Drosophila melanogaster: one gene and its partners. The protein of the gene in region 2 interacts with the protein of the main gene of each other region in a pairwise test. Each region holds a gene or a part of one and is shown on either strand. Other genes may lie near its edges.

What was found. Proteins that work in one complex are often made in the same cells at the same time.
Region 1: the proteins of CG13047 (region 2) and noc interact in a two-hybrid assay, tested with the Drosophila melanogaster proteins (one large-scale study listed by BioGRID).
Region 3: the proteins of CG13047 (region 2) and Elal interact in a two-hybrid assay, tested with the Drosophila melanogaster proteins (one large-scale study listed by BioGRID).

Annotation. Positions count from the first base shown.
Region 1 is NT_033779.5:14,487,719-14,495,298, forward strand, and holds noc (no ocelli), read left to right. Parts: upstream 1-3,140; 5' UTR 3,141-3,527; coding exon 3,528-3,617; intron 3,618-3,919; coding exon 3,920-5,443; 3' UTR 5,444-6,301; downstream 6,302-7,580. UniProt on the Drosophila melanogaster protein: May negatively regulate Notch-induced cell proliferation in the eye-head primordium. Required for development of the supraesophageal ganglion and ocelli.
Region 2 is NT_037436.4:16,283,157-16,288,300, forward strand, and holds CG13047 (uncharacterized protein), read right to left. Parts: upstream 2,241-5,144; 5' UTR 2,200-2,240; coding exon 2,188-2,199; intron 2,110-2,187; coding exon 1,609-2,109; 3' UTR 1,524-1,608; downstream 1-1,523. Other genes in the region: CG13048 (uncharacterized protein), read right to left, coding at 1-424, 484-501; CG13046 (uncharacterized protein), read right to left, coding at 4,559-5,092.
Region 3 is NT_033777.3:24,862,286-24,868,930, forward strand, and holds Elal (Elastin-like), read left to right. Parts: upstream 1-3,064; 5' UTR 3,065-3,084; coding exon 3,085-3,559; intron 3,560-3,726; coding exon 3,727-4,241; 3' UTR 4,242-5,366; downstream 5,367-6,645. Other genes in the region: CG7016 (uncharacterized protein), read left to right, coding at 696-1,784; Srg1 (Sting-regulated gene 1), read right to left, coding at 1,993-2,421; CycB3 (cyclin B3), read right to left, coding at 6,516-6,645.

The DNA of each region.
Region 1 (7,580 bases), on a different chromosome or scaffold from region 2:
AAAATAGCTGAATGGCTTATCAAGCGTGAACAATTTTGAAATCACTTTTCAATGAGGGTGATATTTGTAAAAAAAAAATATTAAAAAAAAAAAAACAAATAAAAAAGTAGCACATCAAGTCAAAGGCACTTGAACTAGCAGATGAGTCACAACGAATGCTCAGATGAAAACCAAATCTTTAGAGTAATTAATTTCATGGTAATATAATTCATATATTCCCATGCCAAACAGGGTAAAATATGTCGGCCAAGATAATAGCTTTTTTAAGACTACGCACAAGGATCTTCAGCAGCAAAATAAAGCAATTATCGTGGGTCGGTTTGGGAGTTCTTCTTTGTGCGTAAGTCAACTAAAAATCCGCAGACAGTTAAACGACTTTCCCTTACCAGTGGCAACCACTTCACGGATATATATATACCTTCATATTGCCGGAGATAATGTCAAATTTATTGCATTATTTTTCGCTCCTTTCGCCCGCCAGTTGCTCTGCATGCGTGCCACCCACTCTTGCCGCAGGCAAACCATCCACCACCCGCCGCCACCCACTGGTGTGCATAAATCAAAAGGTAAATGGCTGCATTTTTATGACTGCGCCGCCATCGTCGTCGTTCGCCTTTTGCGCTGCTTCGCTTTTATCACACAAACATTTCTGTGATAATAAATGCCATAAAAATGAAGAAATATGTGGTTAATTTTATGTGCTGCCTCTGCCATTCCGCCGCTTGTTGTTCTTGCTCTTGTTGTTGTAGTTGTTGTTGTGGCATCCAGTATACTTCCTTTTTATATTCCCCATATAAATGTTTTCGCGGCTACAAATTTTTCCCACTACATTTGGATATCTCTCGGCGCTTTCCTTTACAACTTTGGCGAAGATATCGAGAGTATTCGAATTCGAAACTCCTTATAGTTGCATAAAACGAGATTTTTAGTCTTAAAGGACTCTGATGCACTATATAACTAGAAGCTCAATATAGTTTTTTATTTCAGATCTTATTATTGTTAACCTAATAGAACTGCTGCATCTTTAACTGCGTACCTTGTAATTTAAATTACGCTTTTTTTTATATTTGTAATCTTCGCTACACGACCTCCTTTTGAATAAAATGAAGTTATCAACGCTGAAATGCTGCAGGGTGAGCATTAGTCTGAAAGCAAATCGCTTTAGTCACGGTATCAAGGTGTTCCGCACTTCCGCTTGGCAATTTCTTCGGCTTCGTGTAATTTATAATATTTTTGTATTATTTATATGACACCCCCGGCCACTGGTTTGAATTTACCTTCAGCCCACTCCCGCAATTTGCTAGTAAATAATTCACATACAGGAGCAGCGAATTTATGACGCTGACAAAGTGGCCATAAAAAATAACAAATAATAAGAGAAAATGCTATGGAACGTGTGCGTAAACTCTCCAACTCTGCAGCAGTATACATGCATATATACACGTATATACATTATTTTGGCAACACTTTTTTCGCTTTGTTGCACGCAAAACCGCAAATTATGTCTAAGCCGTATCGTAAAGTATCGCAGCACGCTCTTAACTAATAAATCCATCATTTCGCCGAAGGCCGAGAGTGTTTCCTCTACCTGTTTTAGCCTCGAAGGTATTTCGCTGCCGGGTTTCGGCTTAGGGATTCCCACAGAAAAATGTCTAAACACTCTAAATCGGGATTAAAAGTGTCGCTTCTGGGTTTTCGGCTTATCGTCCATATTTATACAGATTTTAATTTACTTGCCAGGGGCTTTGAAGGGTTCTTAAAACTCAGCTTGGTGATTAGGTAACATATCCCAAGGGCCAGATATTCCAAAATCCCCTCGGGGCTTGAGTTAAACATCTTGATACATAGTTTATGGTTAGTCCAACCGATTTGGTTGGGATTACGTTGGAGTTTTAATATCGGTTAGGTAAAGTGGCTAGAATGATCTAGATCAACAAAATCTAAATGATTAGTCACATAATATTTTCTAACTACTTAAATAATAGTAATCAATTATGTTTAGAAGGAGCTAGCCTATTATTAGCTCTTAATAATTTAATATAAATCAGCCTCGTTTTGCAATTAAACATTATTAGTATTCAGTAATTATCTTGAAACCAAGCAACGTGATTAACGCGATTTCGTGCGAAACGTAAATAAGTAAGTTAGGCAAGTGCTAACTGGAAAATTCAATCCAATTGTAGAGCGATTAAAAATGCAGCGGAGTTAACCAAACCATTAAACTATTACCAACTCTCTGAGTGCAACATGCCACAACACACATTCGCTTGTTTGATATGTGCAGATTAATTACACACACACCAAGGAAGGAGGAAAAATTGCTTGGAAAAACTTTTCGACGCGACAACAAAACAACGATTTCCACTTAAACAGCAAAACAGGAGCCACGAAAAAAAAGAGGGAAAACCAACCGCAGAAGTTAATCGAAAAACGCTAAACAAAGGCCACAACAACAGCTGTGCGAGTGAGCGGGTCAGAGGGAGAGAGGTGAAGTGCCAGAGCGGGAGAGCGACAAACAAATTAATTTTTATATGACATTAAAACGAGCGAAGCGAGGCGATGGAAATGGTTGAAGAGTGTGTTTAAGTGTTGAGTGGTTTGCTTTTCCGAGCAACAAATCTCGGTGCGAAGACAATGAGGCCTCTGCCGCGCCGCTGCCGCCACCACTGCAGCGCTGCTGCTGCTGACAGCCCCATCAAGAAAAAGTTCCCCCAGAGAGACACAGAGAGGGAGAGTGAGCGTGACATATGTGCCAAGATAAAATTAATGTGCCCCCCAAAGCAGCCACAACAACAACAACTCACTGAGCGGCGCTCTCAGCGCTCAACTGTTGCTCTCTGGACGAGTGTTGCCGTGGTGCAGCCATATTATTATGATTTTACAGGAAGCCAAATCGGAGAGCGAGAGAGAGAAAACCTGTCTTGGCTTCCATTGCAAGGCGCATGCGATTGTGATTGGACAAAAAGTACGCCATATTTGAAAATTACGCACAGTGCATCTCGCTCGCATGCAGCAGGCGGTGCTCCTCTAACGCAGGCAGCAAGCCAAAGTGTGCAGCGCTGCTCGCCGGAGAGCGCTCTCTCGCGAGTGAGCGAACGCTTCGCTGCGAGGGCAGTTACGCTCGCTGCCGCAGTCGTTGAATTCAATTCGAATTTTGACTTCGCAGCGTTCAGACGTGTTCGGAAAAACCTGAAAACCATTCGAGTGACAAGAGATATAACCAACAAAAATAAGAAACCTCAGTCAACTGTGGTCACTGATCGAGAGTGTTTCGTTTCGAGTGAAAAAGTGAAATCAGAGCCAAAACACAAATCGCTTGGCCAGCAAATTGAAATAGTGCTACAGAGATAAATTCTCTGCTCAAAACTACAAGTGTGTTAAATCGCCGATTTTCTTTGGATTTACCAACGTTTGCCGACGCATTTCTGTGGATTAACCTCATCGTCGCCGAAGCAAAGCTACGCATTTGTAGCCTTGTCTCGCAACTCACGTGGATTACCCTCGAGAAAACACACTAAGCAACTGATATGGTTGTCTTGGAAGGAGGCGGCGGCGTTGTTACCATCGGTAACAACCAGTACCTTCAACCGGATTATCTGGCCCCATTGCCAACGACGGTTAGTATTGACTAAGTTAAAAGCTGTAAAATTTTGGGATGGCCGTAAAATCTATGGTTTTAAATTTTGCGTACTTAAGAATTAAATTTGGAAAGTTCATAACATCAAACAATTTTTCAAATCTAAAAATTTATATCGTCATTAATACTTTCACGAACAAACTTTCTTTGGAAGAAATTGCATTTTCTCATAGTTTTAACTTCTCACCAAATTAAAATCAATATTATCTTAAAACTCGTAAAAAACTTTAAAATTACAAAAAACCTAATTCCAACTCCACATTTTCATTTTATTCATAACAGATGGACGCCAAAAAGAGTCCCTTGGCTCTGCTCGCACAGACTTGCTCCCAAATTGGAGCGGATTCGTCGGCAGTGAAACCCCTGCTGGCAATGGACAAGAACAAGACAAAGCCCGGAGCATGCTCCTCGTCGTCGAACTCGTCGAGTTCCTCGGGCAGTGCTGAGATCTCGGCAGCCAAGTCACCCTCCGGCCAGGCCAAATCGCCCAAGTCGAGCACTCCAATCAGCTCGACGGCAACCAGCGCAAGTCTGAGTAATACCAGCACCGGTGAAATCAAACTGGCCTTCAAGCCCTACGAGACCAATGTGCTGAGCCACCAGAACCAGAACTCCTTCAAGAGCAGCTCTTCGCTGGATGCGGAACCCACGCGTCCCAGCTCTAAGAACTCCTCATCCGCCCAGGAGCGTGTGCCATCGCGCAGCAAATCAAATGCCACGCCCACAGATGGCGGCAAGGCGGAGATTTCCGCGCACGATTCCTCATCCAGCCGAAAGACTGTCTCCCCGTCGGGATCGTCGCAACGCGGCGCCAGTCCCATTGTGCGCTCCGGCATGGAGGTGCTGAACAATGCCAACGGAACCGCCCAGCATCCCAAGGAAATGAGCAGCATGGCTGCGGCGGCAGCAGCAGCAGCAGCGGCTTACAAGGCCGCCGGACCCTATGGGCTGAATCCCCTGTCCGCCCTGTGCTGCCCGCCCGGAATGGAGCAGCACGCCAATCCCGCTTTCCGGCCACCGTTTGCCGGAGGATTCTCACACCATCACGCCGCCATGTTGGCAGTTGCCGCCAATGGAGGATATCCAGGCGGAGCTCCCGGCGGTGGACCAGCCGGACAGCCCAATCCGTACATAAGTTATCAGCGCATCAAGACACCAGCTGGCGGCGAGGCTATAGTGCCAGTCTGCAAGGATCCGTATTGCCAGGGATGTCCCTACTCGGCGCACACGCAACAAATGCTCATGGGTGCCCCCTGCCCCGCCGGATGCACCCAGTGCGAGCATCAGAAATACGGCCTGGCCATGGCCAGTGCCGCCGGACTGCCACCAGCTCATCCATACTCGCAGGCAGCGGCCGCTGCTGCGGCAAACGCGGCGGCAGCCCGTTCGGCACCCTACGTGTGCAGTTGGGTGGTGGGCGATGCCTACTGCGGCAAGCGATTCCAGACCTCCGACGAGCTCTTCTCCCACCTGCGCACCCATACGGGCAATCTCTCCGATCCGGCGGCTGCTGCGGCGGCCTTGGCCCAATCGCAGGCTCAATCCCTGCTGGGAACCCTATTTCCGCCATCGGCTCTCCGAGCTGGCTATCCAACACCACCACTGAGTCCCATGTCAGCGGCTGCGGCAGCGGCGAGGTATCATCCATACGCCAAGCCACCACCAGGCGCCTTGGCTGGAGGACCTTCGCCCTTCGGCGCCGCTGGAGCATTCAATCCTGCCGCGGCGGCTGCGGCAGCTGCTCTGGGACCCTACTACTCGCCATACGCCATGTACGGCCAGAGGATGGGAGCGGCTCATCAGTAAAGTGACTTCCACAAGAGTTAAATACCAAAAAAAAGGGGATTACGTTGAAGAGACAACCAGAGATATAGAATGAAACCATTTCCAAACCCTGTTTGAGATACTTTCATGGAAAACAAAAAAGATAAAAGCACAAAACGATTGCAAAGGCTGACACATCTCTGGCTTTTGCGCTATTCTGTGATACTAAACTGTAGTTTAAAGAGCGCTAGTTACACTTAAGTTTCGCAAACAGAAAATAATCAACCACCTAAAGAACAGTAGTAGCCGCAAAAATAGCAGGATCACTCTCTTCTATCATCGTAAATGTCTACATTGTTAGGTAAAAAGAAGTGCAGCCAACACGAAGTTCACTCACTCTTATTTGTTCTCAAAGTTCAACCAAAGTTTTTTAAGTCTTAGCCAGAACACATTCTACAACTTCCAATTTTGTTAATGAAGAACCCATTGCTGAGATGTTCAAACATTGTTTTAGTTTAACTTCGCTTTAAGTTCTATTAACTATTATTACGATTATCTGCAAGCATACAACAAACCAACAATTGAAATAATGTTCTTTAAGTCAACTTATATTTAAAGTAAGTGTAATGAATATTTGTAATACCAACCAATCAGAGATAAAAAATTAAAAAAAAATAATAATAATTACGAAAAATAAAAATGAATATTTCATATAATTATGTACTGTGTGTAAATTCTATAAATATAAACTAGATTTGCTATTTACTCCTTGATGTACGCAAACCACAATACGATCTACACAAGAAGCCACGGAATATCAAACAAAAATAACTTAAACTACATGCAACACATTCGTATAAAACTGAGAAATATACAAGAAAAAACAATTTTTAGAAGCATAAACCACGAATCTTTTCTTTTGAAACAAACTCTTTTACAGCTGGAAAACTTTTTGTTGGGCCATAATTTCGCTTCGGTTATCTGCGCTGTTTGGCTAGCTCACATATGGGTCATAAATATTGCTGATAATGCTCCACTAGGTTTTCAATTATATTTACATAAGGCTGAGTGGCAAATTCCGGAAACCATAACAAGGTCTAATTCTCTTAATTTTATAGTTCTTACTTAGAAATGGGACTAAAGGAGTTTTTAATTCTGAGAATTGAACTGCTTCTTATAAGTATCATTGATATTAAATGTAAGGTTCTAGGCAAATAAATAAATAAAATCTTATAGGTTATTCTTTAAAAATATTTTAATTAGTTTTATTTTAGACAAAAGGTATTTTAATGTGCTCTCAATTTTTTCTGGATGCACTCGAAGAAATCTGGGTTTCCCCATCTCACCTAACACATTTGAAATTCAAATTAGTACTATTAATTTGCATTGCTTGTTGCATTTTAAGCGCACTCAATTTGTATGCAGCGATTCGTATTCAGCCTAAAAAATCAAATCAAAAGCAAATTTCAATTTCACGAGGGGTGGGGTAAATAACTTGATTGGGCAAGCCTTAATAAAACAGTCGCCGGCAACAGTCATAAAACACCCAAGCTGAAAATTAAAAATCAATAAAAATCACATTTGTACCAACAATGTGTATAACAAAAATCAATTGCCATTCAATGAGCAACTCAAATGCATATATAAATGAATATGTGTGCATATGTACGTATGTATGTACATATAAAAAAATCGCTGACAAAGCGAAATGACTAACATTATTCACAAAAAATATGCTTCAGAAATATCAAAATCTGAAACCAACCAGACAACTCAAACTTAAGCAACAATCAGCCACAGCAACAATGAAAATCAATGGTGATATTTCGAGTGTATCTCATAAATAAATTAATTGTGACAATATTCAATTGATTCGATTTGAAATTATCGCATTCAACTGTCAAGCGATCAACGACAACGTTTTTTCAATTGTTTCAATTTCCAGCGGATTCTTTCAATGTCTGTTTTCATTCCCCCTTCAACCCACTTGAATGTTGTTTCTGATTTGATTTTGATTCGTTGCGAACACAGCCGTTTGGCCCCAATACAAATGTGGGAATATGATATTCCGCAGGGTCGGGGCTGCCAAGGGGTAGACTTATCAATACTCAGCAATCAGTGTTGTCAAATGAAGTGGCGAAGTGCGAGTTCTTGATTTCAGAATGCTGAGGGATTTCAA
Region 2 (5,144 bases):
GCAGCACTTGATGGGTGACACTGGGCACATGGAACTCGGGCAAAAGAGGAGTAGGAGCTGGCAGAAAAGCTGGAGCTGGTAGAAGTGGTGCAGGTGCTGGTAGAAGTGGTGCAGGAGCGGGCAGAAGAGGAGCAGGAGCCGGTAAAAATGGTGCAAGAGCAGGTAAGAGAGGCGCTGGAGCAAATACAGGTTGTGGTGGAGCAAATGCTGGTGGTGGAGCCACCGCAGGAAGCAAAGGAGCTGGCGGAGGAAGGACCGATTCCTGCACCGCGTAATCCAAGTGGTGCGGCAGAGCATGCAGAGAATCCAAGTGGCTCAGATGATGTCCGTCAAAGTGGTTGACATGGTGGGGATCGAAGTGATTGTAGTGAAGATGAGAGGGCTTTGCCTCACCACCCACCAGCAGGAAAGCCAATGCAAAGGCCTAAAAATATTTAGGTTACCTATTAATATCTTTGGTCAAAAGAACTTTGCAGTCCTTACCCATGTCAGTTGCCACATCTTGCTTGGGGGATTTGAAGTTCGGTTTCTTTGGGGCAGTAGCTTCTCGATCGATGTGCTCGACCTGTTGGTTCGGCTGCTAATGTCTTTGCATTGTCAAATTAAATTAATATTTATAGCGAATTGAAGGCGGTACGCAATCAAAAGACTTGCACTTGCATTTCTTCACTTTCGACGACGACTTGGCCCACTCACCTAACTTAATGGGTTGCATCATTTGGAGGGAGGCAACCCAATCCCATTTAGTTGGTCAGCAAGTCGTGACTGAGACGGCGACTGCGAATGGCACTGCCTTCGATCGAGGGGCCAATAACTTCTTGGGCGATTCGAAAGCACGGCCCATGATTATATAACATGGGGCCAACCAAGCCCAGGCATTGACAGTTGCCCATGAGTGGAATATGATTATGATAATCCATAAATATTGCTTTGACCATAAATAACAATCGATATTGCGCCTTAGGTGACAACGCAATCACAACAAATATTGTTTACATGGTGACCAAGTTGTCTGACTTTAACTTCCCTAAGTCCCTAACTTATGTATGTTGCTACTTTGTCAATATTATCTTTAAAATTCAATGCAGCTGTTAGAAAAAATTCCATTAAAAATTAAATGCAGACCTATAATTTATGCATAATTTGTATTAAATGATATCCACCAATAAACAAGCTTATTTTGCATATCAAAGAAATGAGTGAGAAACGAGAAATTCAGAGCATTAAATGGAAAGTTCTAAAGTTTCTAAAAAAAAATTAAATAACTTCCTCTATCTGAAATCTGGAAATATATGGATGCTTAATAAAACCACTTGCACAAAAGGAATCATCTAATCAAAAATTGATCATAGTTAAGTAAAGAAGTTATTTTATATTTTCTTAAGAAATATATATATATTGACCCAATCGAAATGAGCGTCCAATTGAATTTTCATGAACCAAAAATATCCGATAAATAATAGTACTTTCGTTTTTCGTTAATTATTCAAGGCATTTCTGCAAATAATAAGATGGTGCGCTCTAATTGTTGGTTCGTAATTTATTATCAGTTTTTTTTTTTGTTTATCAAAAATTTCCTATAGTTTGGCCTGCTTCACAGGTGTGTCCTTAGACCACCACTGGAGCTGGAGCAGCAGCGGCGATGGGAGCAGCATAGGATGCAGCGTAGGGAGCGGCGTAGGGAGATGCCAGGTAGGGTGCAGCGTAGGGCGAGGCATAGGGATAGGCGGAGTAGGCAGCGGCGGCATAGGGAGCAGCGGCCAGAGGAGCAGCAACGGGAGCAGCGGCCAGAGGAGCAGCGACGGGAGCAGCCAGAGGAGCAGAGTAGGCGGCGGCCAGAGGAGCAGCAGCGTACTTGGCCACCACGGCGGGGGCAGCTGGGATTCCGGACACATAGCGGCTGGAGTAGGGGCCGGCGAACTCGAACGGAGCGGTGGTGTAGGAGGACAGGGTGCCGTCGTAGTTGTTGCGGACATCCACCTGGCTGCTGCCACCTGCGGCGTACAGAGGAGCATTAGCGTAGGCCAGGGGAGCAGCCAGAGGAGCAGCCAGTGGAGCTACAACTCCTGGTTTGGCCGCAGAGCAGGCGATGAGGGCAGCGAGAACCAACTGGAAAATAGGATAGGTAATCATTAACCACCTCTTAGTCCACATTGTTTGGGCGCTAATCCCCATAGGATCACTTACAAACTTGTACATATTGCTGTGGTTGGGTTTGTCTAAAGCACTTGAGCGATAATGTTCATTTGGAGCCAGACCAGTGGCTTATATAGCTCGTGCCCATATCCGTGCTCTTTGGGGGACATTCTGTCTGAGCCGATTTTTGGTCGCTTCTTCATTAGCTGGCCCACCTGGTCGAGTGCCAAGTAGCATACATGATCGCCATTTGGCCAAGACGTGCTCCGCCTTCAATTGCCCAATGGACTGTCGGAAGTTGTCCAAGTTGTCGCTTGAATATTTCGGTTGCACTTGGAAAAATATTTGAGCTTTGGTAAATATTATAAGAAAAGATATGATATAATTCTGATTTCAATGTATAAATATTTTATTTAAAATTTTTAACCTTAACTATTTAGTGCAGTGTATTTACATGCAGAGGTAAACTTTTTGTATAGCATACCAAGTTATAGTCTTTATAAAAATTTTTCCAAGTGCAGTGATCGACATTTGTATGCAATTGAAGACTGACTCGGTGGCCGGGCTGTCTTGTCGTAATTTGCAGTCTGTTTGGGCCATCAATGTGCGCCGCTTCGCATTGAATTGGCCGCAATCTAAGTCAAATTGGCCATAAAAATGGTACCCCTTCCTCAAAGGCCACGATTCCGGCCCACTAAGTGTCTCATTAGTTCACTTTTTAATGGCTTGCAGAGACGCCAATAAAAGGCGGTCGTAAATTTCCCTCTCATCCTAGCCGACGGGTCTTCATTTGTTTTCGTGTTGACCTGACCTTGACGCCACCTGGCCACAGGATGTGATGCACCCTCATCCTCATCCAGTGGGTCTCATCAATTCGCTTCAGCTTAATTGGCCAACAAGGCGCGGGGCCGAATGATCGAGCAGTCGAAACCTGCTTGCTAGCTGACTTAATGAGCCATCTCTCTCGGTCTCTCTCGGTCACGTGCTGGCCTGGTCAGCAGCATCGTCGTCATCTGATGGCTTGGTGTCTGCGATTTGCATTGTTTTACTCTTTATGATCGGGTACTTTTGCTACTTATGAATGTTTGTAAATTAGCATATTTTAGTGTCAATGACTTGGTAGAACAACCCATTAGGAGCATGATTTCAAAGAGCGAGTTTATGAAAAATCGAAGTTTTTCTGTAGTACAGTCACAAAATATTATACTCATACCGCTTACTAACAAATCGTATAGAGTATCTAAATGGTCGTTATTTTATAGCTGCTTCTGAAATCCGATACGATGATGACGCCGGTCTCAAGGTTGTCGCGATGACGAGTCGAGAGGGCGATATATATATATGTATATAAATGATATCTGGTGATCAAGTTGCCCCACGCATGTAACTGTATACTTTTCCATATATTCTGTATTCTGTATCCGCATTGTGGCCACTTTTGATCGGATTGATCCAATCTTGGCAGCAACCACAGCTAGTACATTCCAACTCCAAGGGTGACCTCTTCTCGTTCACTTGTTCACAATTTCTGGACAGGAATTCTCAACCGATGACGCGCCAATTTTCCGGTGACTCAAGCACGGAAATGAGTACATCTTTAACCATCTTCATCTTCATCTTCATAGACCATCGCCATCAACTTCTTGTCTTCAGCACTCCACTTCACAGCTGTGCGATCCGCTCACTTCCTAGTTAACCTTTTAAATTTATTTGCAATCTGATTTAGAGGCTCATCAGAAGCTTTATCCCTCTTAGGAATTGTTTGGCTGTCGTCAGTACCGTTTGCTTTAATTGATTTTTAAGCCCCAAATTTATGCAGACCATATTTCTAATTCCCGTTTTTGTTTTCGCGGGAAGCAGGTTCTATACGGCAGGCATAAATATGTCTAGATATATAGATAGATCCAGATCCCAGTTCCCAGTTCCGTTCCCAGATCTGATCAATGACACTTGACTTTAATTGGCTTTCATAAATATACGTCAAAAGTTAGTCGTTGTCTCGATTTCTTTTGTTTTCACAAGAGAATTCCGAATGCCAATGCCAAGTTTGAGGTCTCATTATGAGGCGCGGATGGAGATGGAGATCTCTTGGCCCGATTTGTGTGTATGTAAATAGCAACCATTAACCCATCGTAGGAGAGTGAAAGGTGTAAATCCAATGGACGAAGACCTCTTTTTTTTTTGTGTGTGCCCGCGTATTAACCTTCAAAACATTATGCAAATGCAGTCTCCATCGATGGCAATGAGACTAAAAATGGCCAATAAAAAGAGACTCAACCGAAAGGCTAAGCTTAGATGGCAAGTTTATTATCAATGTGTATTCACTAAGAGCAGAAGTCATCGCAGTTTGATGATCAGTCGGGATGGCTCTGGCTCTATTAAATGTATTGCTATTGCTATTCTATGGGCTAGGATTGCTGGACTAGCGCCTCTGGATCTGCGGTGTTCCATAGGAGGTTAGCCCCGTGGTTCTGGGCACACTGGCATATGGTGCCCCAGCCTGCAGCGGAAGTTGCGCCACATTCAGTGGAGCAATGCCAAAGGGCACTGGCAGCTTGAGATTCAGCGAGTTGGCATCCACGGAAGCGGAGGATATGGAACGACCTGTGGCCGATCCCGCAGCAGATGATACTCTGGCCACCTGCTGGGGCTGTGGTGCCGGGGGAGCCACCTGGAGGGCAGACGACGGTGCTCCAAATACGTAACCCTGGCTGGTCAGAGCCTGGGTGAAGGCGGCATGCTCCAAGGCGGGCTCGGCAAACTGTCGTGCCACTTGGGGATACTGCTGGTTCTGTTGGTACTGGTTCCTCTGGCTCCGCTGCACGGCTGGCCTGTTGGGAGCGGGATAGTGATAGTAACCCAGCTGGGTGCTGGGTGCTATCGAGTAATCCAGGTGTGAGACATCGGCCAGAGCCAAGCTCATGAGTTGCAGCAGAGTAATCCATACACAAGTCAACTGAAAGTGATTTGATAGGGTTAAACCTTGATAGCTCTTCACACACTAGATA
Region 3 (6,645 bases), on a different chromosome or scaffold from region 2:
ATAAACACAGTCGGAATCTCTGGAAGATTAGCGTGGCCAATGGGCAAGCGACTTAATGCATTATGCTGGATTTATTATAGCACGCGGATTGGCACGATCAGCATGCGGAGCACGCTTCATCCGCTGGAAGACTGAGCTATCGCAGATGGTAGATGGTCAGTATACAACGGACATCTCATACCCCAACCATTATATAAACTTCCATATAAATACACACTGCTGAGATCGTATGAGTGTACTTCAAATAAGAATTTGAATTAATTAAAATATAACACTAACATACAGAGATCTGTAAAGACTGGACGGATACTACTAGTAAGTCCCTTCCATTTATTCCTCTATTATGGATTTTTCATCACTTGAAGTATCTCTTTCATCGCCTGTATCTCTTATTCTTTTATACTTCAATCTGTATACTACATACTATATATGTATCTCAATTTTTGTTTTCAAGCTTCAGGTGTTTGTTTACTTTTCGTCTGATTATTATTATGATCATCTCTCTGAGACCTATTTTGGAGAGCGGTTAAGATCTCTCTGGTTGCGGACACTGATTTTCATCATGCTCTCACTGATCGCCGGACAGGTTTTCAATGTTTAATCAAGCATCAACGATTATCGCATAGGCGGAGCGTAAAAGTTCCCCCTCAGTTAGAGTCCGCCTTTTGTGGTGATCACTGCTCGAACACCCGAACATGACGCGATCTTCGCCAGCTTGGTGTGCTGGCCAGGCCTGGCTCGTCTGGCTTTTGGCATCCATCTGGATACGCACGTGTCTCGCGCAATTTGCAGTCTCCTCGTCCTCCGCCGGCGGAGCTGTTGCCTCCGCCGGTGGCGTCACTGTGGTGGCCCAGCTGCCCGGTTTCGGAGTTATCAATGGACTGATCAATGCCATGCACAACAACAACCGCTTCAACCAGCAGCCGCAGTTCGAGAGACTGCAGCAAGGAAGGCCGGGGATGGGTCCGAATCGAGGAGGAATGCACAGACCAGGATTTGCACCACCCAACCGTCAGCAACCGACGCCTCCTGGCTGGCCACCCGGCTGGCAGTGGGGAGCCGGTGGAAATCAGAATCAACCCGGATTTGACTGGGTTCAAACAGGATTTGCACCAGGCTGGAATGGAGGTGGAGGGCAAGGACCAGGATGGAATGGTCCAGGATGGAACGGAGGCGGTGGAAGAGGACCTCCACCAAGACCAGGTTTTAACGGCGGCGGACCACCGCCGCCAAGACCAGGATGGAACGGCGGCGGGCCACCACCACCGATGCCAGGCTGGAATGGAGGAGGGCCACCGCCACCAAGGCCAGGATGGAATGGCGGAGGACCTCCGCCACCAAGGCCAGGCTGGAATGGAGGGATGGAACAGGAATGGGATAACTATCCACGCCTCCCCGATCAGCCGGATCCCAATGATCCAAACACGAATTGGAATCCAGATAATGAGTCTAGCACCACTCCACAAACGCCAATACCAGGACCCATCTTTCCAACGACAACACCTAAGCCAGAGCCCACCTTTCCCACGATCCAGCCACGTCCAACCGCTCAGCCAACGAAGGATACGCTCATAATAGGAACCAATCGACCGCCGTTGGTGCCGCCCCATAATCCGGATCCACCCACGCCCACTTTTCCCACTTGGATCGTGCCGGAGCCATTGCCAAAACCATTGGACGAACTCTCCGAAAATCGTGCTATTATATTCCCCAGCTCTAGCAAATATATCCATGTGCCAAACCCGGAGGTTCCCTCAATTCCCATTGATGTGAGACGAAGATGAATCTTCTAAGAGGGAGTTCCCCGATTCACACTTGTTGTATATATATTCGTAGACCATTGTTCAATTGCTCCACCCGAGATCGTCTTTGTCATAAGTTCAAAACAGGTTCTAAAAGCTCGTTGGAAATAAACGAAATTTTAATAAATTACACATAAACAAATGAGACAGCACATGATTGGATGAGACTGGGGTATCTGACGGATGAACGTTAGTAACCCCGCTGCTTGTAACCACCTCCACCTCCGTAAAGATCCTGATTCTTGTGCGGATAATGGACACTGGCAGGATGAGACGGCTGAGAGTAGTATCCAGGCGAAGGACGCACTGACCAAGGTGGTGGATAGTAGTCATTTGCTGCCGGAACCGGTCGTGGTGGGTAATAGGCATAGCCACCTGGATGCGTCTGCTGGTGGCTACCACCGTAGCCGTAGCCTCCACCATAGTGATAGTCGTAGCCCTGCTCGTAGCCCTCCTGGATGAGTGGACCTGGTCCAGGATGTAGCTGTGGATCAACTGGCCTTGCTGGCGGATAATGATTTGGGTCGCCGAACAGAAGCTCCGCAATCTTATCGAAAGTGGGTCTACCGTGGGCCAAGCTGGCCAGGATTAGCACTAGAATCGCAGCCAACAACTGCATCTTGGGATATGTAGAGCAATTTTGCTGATAGTCCCAATGTCCATGCGGCTTTTATAGCCAGCAGCAGCACATGGCGATAAGAAAGATGAATGGAATCGAGTGGAAGAACCTTGGGTAATGGAACAAATGCTATATGTACATATGTACTTATAATACTAATCTATTGACTGGTAAACAAGGTTGACTGGGAAAGCTTTCGTTCTCTATATAAAGGGAGGATCATAACTCATGATCATCATCTATGCAAAGATGAGTTATGAATTGCTTGGGAAATCCCTAAACCAAAAATGCGTCTCAACTTATCTATTACTTGGCTTTAGGCCGCAAATTTATACATTGCAAGAAATTTATATATAACATTTATATTTATAAATTTGTATATGGGTATTTCTTTAAAAAATTCATTTATTTGTTCAAATTTATGGCTAGTATCTATGCATATGCACATTGTTGTGTTATATTTTCAACTTTTGCTTTCAGTGTAGACTCTCTCATTCAATTTACTAGAAAGAACACTCAATGAGACTTAAACTACATATCTGGGCATTGAGCCCCTGATGATAACCCCAAAAATAGACACTCAGCTAAGCTCTCGTGTCATCAGATCTCACCATGAAATACACGCGCCGTGAGCTTCTGGGCTTTAGTGTACCCAAAGACGCCATGTTAAGCAGGAGGGTCATCGCATTCGCCGCTCTGGCCCTCATCCAGATAGCCAGCGGTCAGGCCTCGCAATTCAGCAGGGACGAAAGTCAGGAGGATCAGAAGACGGAGTTTAACCTGGCCTCCACTCTGACGGGAGGCATTACCAGCAGTCGCCATCGCCAGCGGGCCAATCTCAATTCGCAACTTTATCCTGGCCTTGGTCAGCTGGGATCGGGTTATGCGGGCGCAACTGGATCCATCGACGATGCCCATGGCCATGAGCAGGGTGGCTCTGGCGTACGAGTGGCCAGTACGAACTCCGTTGTTTTTCCTGGCAACCAGTCACCAAATCCGGCACTCACAATTACAGGAGGTCACCAGATTCCCGCTTATCCGCCTCCGGGTTTTCCTGGACAACAGGCTCCAGTTCCGTACCCAGCTGCAGGAGGCTCTTCAGGAGGATCCTCATCATCCGGTGGTTACCAAAGTGCAGGTAGGTCCTTCTAATAGGTGGTTCATTTATCTTAGTGAAATCAGAAAACTAATATCAAGTCTTAACTCCCAAAAAAGTTATACAAAATTTAAAAGATTGGTGAATAGCAAATCCACATTTTGAAATATATATGAAATTATGATATTAATGAAATGTCCCCTTTTTAGGTGCTGTTTCTCCTCCTGGCTATCCTGTTGCTGGAGCAGTTCCTGCTCAGTATCCGGTGGGAGTTCCTCCCCAGCAGCCAGTGGGTGCAGGAGCACCTGGTTACTTCCCGGGAACTGGTGCCTATCCTGGCTATCCCTACCCCGGAGTATACTTGCCACAGTACCCAGCGTACCCTCAACCAGCCCAGTTCCCCGCCTATGGAGTGCTACCCGGAGCTGTGGCTCAACCAGGAGTTCCTGGAGTAGCTGGAGTTCCGGGAGCACCTGGAGTGGCAGGAGTGCCCGGAGCAGCTGGTCAGGCTCCTGCCACCAGCGGCATGAACTATCATCGCTATCCGGCTCACAATCCCGCTGATCCGAGCCATTGGGACCATCATTTCTCGATGAACACCGAGTACAAGGAGGATGGCGTCCACAAGGGACCATTTGGAGTGCTGAACAATCACAATGCCTTTGGCTATGGCAGTGGATATGGGGGCGGATACAACGGTGCCTTCAACTCGCCGGCCTACTGAAGCTGGCCGACATCATGGGTGGACCTCGGTGGTGGTGGTAGTGGTAATGGTGTTGGTGGGGCGTGAAGTAATCCGAGTCGTAGTCATAACTTCGCTGCTGCCTCCTTGGCCAGAGGCAGCTGTCTTTGCCTATCATCCTGTGTGTCCCTGCGAAATAAACTTGATTTCTGCACACCCAACCAAGATAATTAGCAATGCTGGCCAGTTACCAGTTGCACCTTGAACCGGAAAAAATAAAGCACATGCACTCGGCATTCTGCTCCCATACAGACAGCTAACCCAAGACATTCACATCCCATCCTTATTCTTTTCCTTATTCTTATGGCAATGCCGCTTCTTTTATCCGGCGTGGACACAATCGAAGACGACAGGAGCTACCTGGCTGGCAGGCAGCCGAAAAAAAGGGAACGCACAAAGGCAGGACTCTGGGCGAGCCAAAGGTGGTGGTAGAAAATCAGCGTCAGAGAGAGACGCTGTTACTGGTATTGGTACTCCTGGTGCCCTTCGCTGGACCCAACTGCAGCGACATAAATCGGCTGGGTTTCGCTGTGCAGCGGAAAAGAGAGGGCCGAAGGAAAGGAAAGGAACCCAACCAAGGGACGACGTCTTGATGTCTTGCGGCGCATGCGCAGCCTGCCGCGCAAATCCTTAACAAATTTTTGGCGCTAAAATGACGGACGAGCGCGCCAAAAGCAAGGAACCGCAGGAAACTCGAGAGAATCATGCCCGGGGTATACAGACTACGAGTATACAGACAGACACTTACACTCATGGATTATGAATGATTTGGACGGACGGTATCGGTGGTTTTTACCTGTAGCAAATCGAACCGATTCCAGCCAGGGTTTGATGTCCTTAGGTCATCAGCCATCAGCTGTTCTATGATGAGCGCGGAGAAAGGAGCACAGATTCAGCTGAGAGGATTCGAAACAAAGGAATTAGAATGGGTGGGGTAATGGGTATACTCACGGCAAAGAAGTCTAGATGTGCTAAACGTTTTCCCTTAACCTTTGACATCTAGGAGTTTATGCTCTGTTTCTAACAATTAAAGATTGAACTGCAACAAATACATACATTCCAGATTCTAGGAAATTGAAAATAATGCCCTAAATTATTTAATCCCCTAGGAACTAGGATCATTTCCAACATGCTGGATAAAGACAGCTAATTTAAAATACTTATTTAAAGTAAACATAAACACTAATGATACTACAATTGCATTCAACTAGTTATATCTGAGTTAATACTCACCCGATTTTGAAACTTCCATCAGGTTTTTAAAAGAGTTTTCTAGAAAGAAAAATAAAAATACGAATTTATTGCACTTACCCTATTAAAAGTAAGAATTTTTTCACTTCGCCCACCGTTTTCCGAATGTAATGATGGTAAAAAGATTGAAGTATTTTTGAACGGACGTAAAAATGTTTATTGGTATTCTCTCGCAAAACGATACATACATAACACTGAGTACATACATAACTAGTTACTTCAACAATGCAACGTTATCAACCATCCATGGATAAACGAGGTGAACTGAGGCAGGGCGGGGCGGGGCGGTATGATCAGGAACTGGGAAGTTGATGGTGAGCGTCCTTCGAGGGGCGGGAATGTGAGCGCAAGGAGGGGAGTCCATGAACGACTTAACAAATAACAGCATTAATAACGACGACAGGAACAGATGCACATGGCGTACATGGCGTGCACGGGACGAGGGTTGATCGCAGCGCATTTCCAGGTTGTACGGGACACACGTGCCTTTCATAGTCGCTTCGTATCCTTGCGTTTGTGTATCTGTGTAGAATAAGTTAGTGGGGATCCGTGTCTGCTTTGGTGGCTTACGAGTTAGGTTTATTTAATGCTGGCATCTCTTAAGACTAACGTACATATTAAAACATGAATCGTTTTGGGATTTTTTGGGTGGGGGTGCTAAAGATAATGTCGCCTTTCGAGTTTAGATTGATTGTGTTCGGCTACGTATGCGGTATGTGGGAAAATTAAACAATAATACATGGCAAAAAGAAACAAAAGCACTCTTAACATAATATTTATGCAAAAAACATGTCAATAATGCGAAGGTCACAATAATAATTAAAATATAATAAATTGCGAGGACTTGACGGGAACACTAGGTAAGGGGTAAAATCAGGGGTTTTTAGATTAAGGCGGGGATCCGCTGTTTCGTCGGGATGGGGCTAATATTGGGAATAGAAGCGTCTTAGAGCCTAAGTGAAGCGTATCGTATCATGTTGAATTTGGCTAAACTTTGAGGCTGTCCTACGACAGATTGCTTTCGTTCAGGTCAAGGTTGCCCTGGAAGAGCTCCTGGTTCGTCAGCAGCGGCACCTTGGCCACCTCGTGGAATATTTTGTGCGAGTACTTGTTCCGTATCGTCTTGATGGTGGCC